Sus scrofa: one gene and its partner. The protein of the gene in region 2 interacts with the protein of the main gene of each other region in a pairwise test. Links are inferred from orthologs where the notes say so. Each region holds a gene or a part of one and is shown on either strand. Other genes may lie near its edges.

Evidence for each region.
Region 1: the proteins of CFAP206 (region 2) and SOX30 interact in binary tests that used the Homo sapiens proteins (3 or more experiments, as listed by UniProt). The two-hybrid records come from large-scale screens. The link is inferred for Sus scrofa from reciprocal best matches to the Homo sapiens genes CFAP206 and SOX30.

What each region holds. Positions count from the first base shown.
Region 1 is NC_010458.4:65,652,042-65,655,862, reverse strand, and holds part of SOX30 (transcription factor SOX-30), read right to left. Parts: intron 620-3,821; coding exon 130-619; intron 1-129. UniProt on the Homo sapiens protein: Acts both as a transcriptional activator and a repressor. Binds to the DNA sequence 5'-ACAAT-3' and shows a preference for guanine residues surrounding this core motif. Binds to its own promoter and activates its own transcription.
Region 2 is NC_010443.5:55,835,001-55,838,821, reverse strand, and holds part of CFAP206 (cilia- and flagella-associated protein 206), read right to left. Parts: intron 2,899-3,821; coding exon 2,779-2,898; intron 1,353-2,778; coding exon 1,154-1,352; intron 1-1,153. UniProt on the Homo sapiens protein: Essential for sperm motility and is involved in the regulation of the beating frequency of motile cilia on the epithelial cells of the respiratory tract. Required for the establishment of radial spokes in sperm flagella.

The DNA of each region.
Region 1 (3,821 bases), on a different chromosome or scaffold from region 2:
CTAATCTAAATAAGATCCTAAGCAGAATTGAGGAAGTTCCTTTCTCAGGGGAAAAAAAAAGGACTTCAGATGTCAAAATTCATTCTCTGTAAGAATTTTTAGGAGAAAGGAAATAAACTATTCATTTACCTTGATGGGAAGTAGTGAGGTCCAGGTAGGAAGTAAGGGTGATGAAAAGAGAATCGAGGTGGTGTCCCAAACAACGTGGCTGGATGGCCAAGGGGAGGGGGCTGGTAGACATGTGAGTGTGGAATAGGAGGAGGCTGGGGGATTGGAGCACTTCTGGGACAAGTAGAAACGCTGGGATACTCCTTGGGAGGCTGGATGGTTGAGGATGCAAATCTGGCATGGGCAGTACTTGCACTAGTTGGAATCCTACTGGTGCTTTCCGGAGAGACAGGAGTGGGTCTCTTCACAGAGCAACTGGCTCCAGAATGCAGCCGATGAGTGTCCGTTTGGGAGGGCCCAGCAAAGCGCTGGGGTGGGAGTGCTGGACGGAGGGGCAGACTTGGAGCCTGGACAGCCACCTGGGCAGTGGAGACACTGGGCTGGAAAAGTGTGATGGGACTTGGGCGCTGGACTGCTGGTGTGGGCAGCTGGATGGCAGGTGGAGCTTCACCTTCAGAAAAAAAAAATAACATAGGTCAGGCGTGAATTGAGTCACTCCCTATTCTACTTTGTTCAGTAGAATACAATAAACTGTAGAAGCAGAAGCCTTCACTAACCACCTTATGTAAGAGCACCACCACCCTATTTCCTTAATAACATTTTGAACTGAAACGATCCCATGCTTTATTTTACATTCCTGTCTCTCTTTCTCACCTAGATTCTAAGTGTCCTAAGAGGAGAAACCTTTTCTCTTTTGTTCACTATTGTTTCCCCAAGGCTCAAGATACTGCCTAGCACAGAACAGTCCCTTAACAAATATTTTTTGGATGAATAAAATGACTGATTGAGTAAAAGACAAAATATACACAAATGCTGGTATTTATACATAAACATTTCTAAGGAAATAATATGAAACTACTGATGGTGCTTACTTTTAAAGAGTATTCATCTGGAAGAGAAGACAGGGCCATGAGAAGCCAGACTTTCACTTTAAACCTATGGCTACTATTTGAATTTTCTATTCTCTAAATATATTAATTTTATTTTAAGTATTACTAGAGGTTTCAGTGTAGTTGTATGAGTCATTTTTTCTTTTATTTTGTATACCTATATTAAGCTAAATTATGAATGACATTTAATTCTTTAAATTAATTAATTAATTAATTTTTTATGACTACACCTGTGGCATAGTCCCAGGCCAGGGATTAAATCCAAGCCACAGCTGCAACCTACCCCACAGCTCTGGCAATGCAGAATCCTTCAACACACTGCATCAAGCTGGGGATGGAGTCCACACCTTCACAGTGACCCAAGCTGCTGAAGTCATATTCTTAATCCACTGTGCCGCAAGGGAAACTCCAACATTTCTTTTTTTTTTTTTTTTTTTTTAATTTTTATGGCTGCATCTGCGGAATAGGCATATGGAAGTTCCCGGGATAGGGGTCAGATCTGAGCTGCAGCTGCCGGCCTATGCCACAGCCACAACAACTGCCAGATCTGAGCCACATCTGCAACCTACACCACAGCTGGTGGCAATGGCAGATCCTTAACCCACCGAGCAAGGCCAGGGCTTGGACCTGCATTCTCATGGATACTATTCAGGTTCTTAACCTGCTGAGCCACAATGGGAATTCTCAACATTTCATTTTTTAATTGAAAAAAACTAAAGAAATAATCAGTAAAATTATTTTGCTTTATTGACTTCAATGTGAATACATAAGGAAATTCTCAAGTGAGACTAGGACTTGCCATAGGTCAACAATTTGGAATGGATAAGAAAGGAATATTATTGCAGCAGGGCATGACACATAGAGCAGCACTTTTAAAGGCAGGTAAAATAATCATGTATTTGATATTTTTGATCCTGAGGAAGAGAGGATTGCTGACTGAGTTGCTAAGTTATTCACTTAGACTAAATTTAAACTTTCCCAAAGAAATACAGAGAGAATCTAGTTTATTCCAGTGCAGTAAGGTCTCTGTTAATATAGAAGATGCAGTCCAAGAACAGACCTTATGGTTAGAAATGTTTTTGTCAGAGGCAGAAAGGAATGTGGATCTTTTCTCAGCCCTGCCCAGGTAACACCTTCCTCTCCTTCCTTCTCTGCAGATAAAGCAAATAATACCTCTCCTTAAACATGGAGGTAGGGAATTAAAGGATATATTATTTTTTGTAAGATTTTTGTTTCCCCTGTTATAGTTGATTTACAATGTTCTGTCAATTTCTACTGTACAGCAAAGTGACCCAGTCACACATAGATATATACATCATTTTTCTCACATTACCACCCATCATCTTCCATCACAAGTGACTAGATTTAGTTCCCTGTTTGAAGATGGTCTCTGACCCAATGAAGTAGAGGCAGCACAGGAGCAGGGTATTGATGAAGCTGTCCTGATTCTTAGTTAATGGGATTACATGGACTAGCCCTCCCATATGTGAGACACAGGCCTTCAGCCTTTCCTGATTAATCAAACATAAAATAATTTCCCTTTTTCATGTACCCTCTGGTCCTATAAATCTAGTCCATATCATAAAATAGTGTAAATGTGCAGGTCGGACACCATTTCCACAATCACAAAATTGGAGGCTTAAGAGCAGGAACAGTTTAATTCACATTTACATCCCCATTACCTGGCACAGAATCTGGTTAAGAACAGTTAAGAAAGCTATAACTAGATGAAAGAAAAAGCAAACTAACAAATAAGCCTATAGCTGATAGCACCTCTACAACTGATCTGATAGAAGAGGAATCTCCTCAGAACAACTTTGAAGCCAGGCTGACTTTTAAAATCTCTCAAAGCTTTATTCACTGAATTGCACCCAAAATATCTGCTCCTAAAATCTACCTCTGACACAGATTTCTTTTCCCTGTACTGTACAAGGGGCTCTTAGTCCTCAAAAAAAGAAGTGTGGTCTTATTAGGCAAAGGAAACAGAAATTACAGGCGCTGTAGAGAGCAATATTATTTCAATTACTGAAGAAGGAAGGGGACTCATCTTTTGGCTGTTATCAAATGTACTTTTCTACCAAAGATATTTTATGAAAGAAGGGTTACCAGTGAGGCATGAGGTGATTTTAAAATCATGCACTCATTTAATTAAACATACATTCACTAATCAACTAACATGTGTCAAACATCATTTTGGTCTGAGGTAAAAAAAAAAATCAGATGCATAGAGAGCCATGTGAAAGTATAATGAAGATGTCCTAAAAGTCAAAATTCAGGTTGCTAAACAGGAGGTTAAAGTCTACAACATTTAGTCATCACTGATAAACTGTCAGTATATAGAGAAACCTTGTAGAAAGGGAAGAGCTCTAACGTATCAAACTGTAGATAAAGTATGGAAAAGACCACCCAGACACCTATTTTCTCTGCTTCTAGCATGCAGCTAGATTATATTTCCCAGCTTCCCCTGGAGTTAGGAGTGGTCTCGTTGCTCAGGCTACCCAATGGAAGTAAAAGTGCTGTGCACCACTTCTGAGACTGGCCCACAAAAAACTCTCAGGCATGATCCTCCGTGCTTTTTTCTCATCTGCAGGTTCATACACACATGGATGCTACATATCAAGGATGAGAGAGCCACAGGGTAGAATAAACCTGTGTCCATAAATTATTTGGAAGAAAGCCAGAAATGCCTATGTTGGAGTTTATGTTGGTAGAAAAAATAAACCATGATTCTGTTTAAACCATTATGTTTCAGGGCATGTTAAA
Region 2 (3,821 bases):
GATTTGCTGTTTTAACAAAATGAAATGAGTTGGAAGGACATTTTTGAGTGTCTGTGATTTTGTTTTCAGATTTTATGTATTCCAGTAATTTTCAAGTGAAAATCACCATTAGGTTTTTACTTTTCACTTCTACAAAAATAGAATTTGAAAAGGAACTTTAGAGAGTAAATTATCTAATTTCACTTTCTTGGAAAACTTTCTTTTTAGATAATAATTCAAATCCCAGACTCTATTTTGGCATTTCTCATGAATTTTTTTATTTTTTATTTTTTGTCTTTTTGCCTTTTCTAGGGCCACTCCCTTGGCATATGGAGGTTCCCAGGCTAGGGGTCGAATCGGAGCTGTAGCCACCGGCCTACACCAGAGGCATAGCAACCGGCAAGGCCGGATCCTTAACTCACTGAGCAAAGCTAGGGATTGAACCCACAACCTCATGGCTCCTAGTCAGATTCATTAACCACTGAGCCACGTCGGGAACCCCTTCTCATGAATTTTCAGTTGTCTTTAACTAAGACAGAAAGGACCCAAAAAGAAATCAATAAATCTCTTAAAGGGCCTAAAAAAAAGCTCAGTTTTACAAGGATAACATTTATTGATTTATAAATTTCAACCTGAATCTGGAGTAGATATATGGCAAATGGCATTTCAAAGAAATGGAGATTCATTTGCAACAAATATAGCATGGATTAATGTCCTTTTCTACTACAAACCAATAATAAAATCACTAAGATTATGATAGAAACCCAGAAGCACAGAAAATCATTGTTAACCAAAACACTAGCAATAAGATCAGGAATAGTTACTGCTGGAGAGCAAAATATTCTGTTTATATATTTTCTGTTTTCCACATTTTCTATAACATCAATAGACTTATAATCAAGAAAGATGTTCAGGGAGTTCCCTGGTGGCTCAGCAGGTTAAGGATCCGGCATGGCCATGTTCAGGTCATTGATGAGGCACAGGTTCAATCCCTGGCCTGGGAACTCCTGGAGGCCTCAGGAGTGCCCCTCCCAAAAAAGATAATATTAAAATCTCACAGCAGGTATCATTAAAAAAAAACTTTATCAGAAAGATAGAACCTGAAATTTTTAAAACAAAAGAGTGACTTTATTCTAGGGGTATATTTAAGAGGAAAAAGAATGCTTTCTGTTACCCATGTGTTCTTTGATTCTACACACATCAGTTTTCACAGCCACTCGGTCAAGAAGATCTTGCATTACTTTTTCAGGAAAGAATAATTCATGAGCACCCAGAAATGGCTCGAGATGAGTAGTTAAATTACTGAGGACACTAATCAAAACAGTTTCATCCTGGAAGCTAGTCCACAGATTGGAAAGGGCAATGAAGATGGGCTGAGGAAGAGACAAAAATGTTCAAAATGTCACTGTTTAGCAAAATTACAAATCACTCTACCCTTTAAAATAAATACAAAGTTTGTTTGTAAAGAGATTAAGTCTCCCATAAGACAAGTCAAAGTCTCATGAAGTTAGACAATAAAATCTCAGTAGAAACTGGACTCATAAATTATGGGAAAATAAAATTGTATTTCAAAACCTTTTTTTTTTTCTTGTGTAATTGTCAGTAAGTAAGTTTATGCAAAAGAGCCAAACACTTGGGATCACCCAAGAAACATTTATGGACACTTCACCTCAACAGGTCTAGGGAAAAATATCTTCTTTTTTTCAAAAAAGCTAAATATGACTCATGATAATTAGATTTATCTAGCTCAATTATGATTCAAAAGAACCTGGAAAGTCTAGGGATATACCTTGGGGCATTTCCTGTGAGCTGCAAGTTAAAGATTTTGTCAGTGAGTGTATTTTTTCTTCACATTAAAAGTCATTGACTTATACAACAAATAAAAAATGAATAAGGTCCTATTTGTAAGTGAAACAACTTAGCCTTTTGTTCCTTGAATTTTAAAATAAAGTATTGGGAATGATTACATAAAATCATCAGAGAATCAAAATGCTCTATAAAATACTGCTTGTGCATCTTGTACTTTGGGGGGGCTCCCAGATTTGCCCGTAGGTGATGCAGATAATCAAAAAGTCAGAAAAGGTGCAGGTTTGGTAAACAAGGTGATTATTATCTGACTTTTCAGAAAGGTCACAAATTACATCACCTCCTTGCTGAAGGCAATTTCTCTCTCTCTCTCTCTCTCTTTTTTTTTTTTTTTTTTTTTTTTTGCTTTTTAGGGCCATGCCCGAGGCACATGGAAGTTCCCAGGCCTACACCACAGCCACAACAAGGAGGGATCCCAGCCACATCTGCTATTACACCACAGCTCACGGCAACGCTGGATCCCTGACCCACTGAGCGATGCCAAGGATTGAACCTGGATCCTCTTGGATACTAGTCGGATTCATTTCCCCTGCACCACAATGGGAACCCCAAGCAGAAGGCAATTTCTAACCAACTACTATGAACATGCTTTCAACACTGAACTATGGATTATTTTTGTGGTCACAGATAACACTGATATTATGCTTATTCTAATATATATCTGCACTTTGTCGAGTAGCAATTACCTACTGAGAGAATCCACTCATTCAACTTGTAACATCCTGGTTTTATGATTATTACTACAAAACTGCCATAAAGAAAAGGATCAACTTGTATAAAACTAATATTATATTTTTAGTATTTAAATACTTTAGTAATTAAAAATAATTTATTAAATTAAATAAATTAAATTTAACTGCTTCTGATTCAGTTTCATAGGACTTAAAAGCTTATCCTTCTTTAAACAAGGTCAAAGTTGATGCAAACACTTACAAAAACTTGCGATGTTGGAACAGCCGTCTTTGATTTTACAGTCATTTTTAATTGTTCGAGTTGGGCTCCTAACTGCTTTATCATCATTTCCACTTCTTGAGCACAAGTAATTATATCTGACTGTGAAGATAGAATAATTTGCATTAAAAGTTTTATAATTTTACTACAAAAATTGTACGTTTTAAGCCCTATCTGCTCCCCACATCCCCTGAAGGTAAACTCAATGAGAGCAGAGATTCTGCTCTTTGTGGTACCTCCAACACCAAGAACAGTACTGGCATATAGATGGTGCCCCAGAAATATATGTTAAATGGATGAATCTCTTGTTTTTTGGTTTTTTTTTTTTTTTTTTTTTTTTTGCTTTTTAGGGCCATATTTGCGGCACGTGGAAATTCCCAGGCTAGATGTCCTATTGGAGCTACAGCTGCTGGCCTGAGCCACAGCAATGCAGGATCTGAGTCGTGTCTGCGACCTACACCACAGCTCATGGCAACACTGGATCCTTAACCCACTAAGCAAAGCCAAGGATCAAACCCACATCCTCATGAATATTAGTCTGGTTCGTTTCTGCTGAGCCACAACAGGAACTCCCAGAAAAACAAGACTGTCTGTTACTAATGATAAAATTCACATGTTGAAAAAGTTGTATCTGCCACCACAAGTCAAACTTGACAGTATCCTAACACAAGATATTTTTTTCTTTTTTTTTTGGTCTTTTTGCCTTTTCTAGGGCCGCTCCTGCAGCATATGGAGATTCCCAGGCTACGGGTCTAATCAGAGCTGTAGCCACTGGCCTACACCACAGCCACAGCAACTCGGGACCCGAGCCGAGTCTGCGACCTACACCACAGCTCACACAACACTGGATCCCCAACCCACTTAGCAAGGCCAGGAATCAAACCCACAACCTCCTGGTTCCTAGTCAGATTCGTTAACCACTGTGCCACGATGGGAACTCCAAACACAAGATATTTCTAATGAGATTGTTGGAAGAAAAAAAAGAATGAAGTCACTTAAAATTTCCTTTTCACAATGCAGTCAAA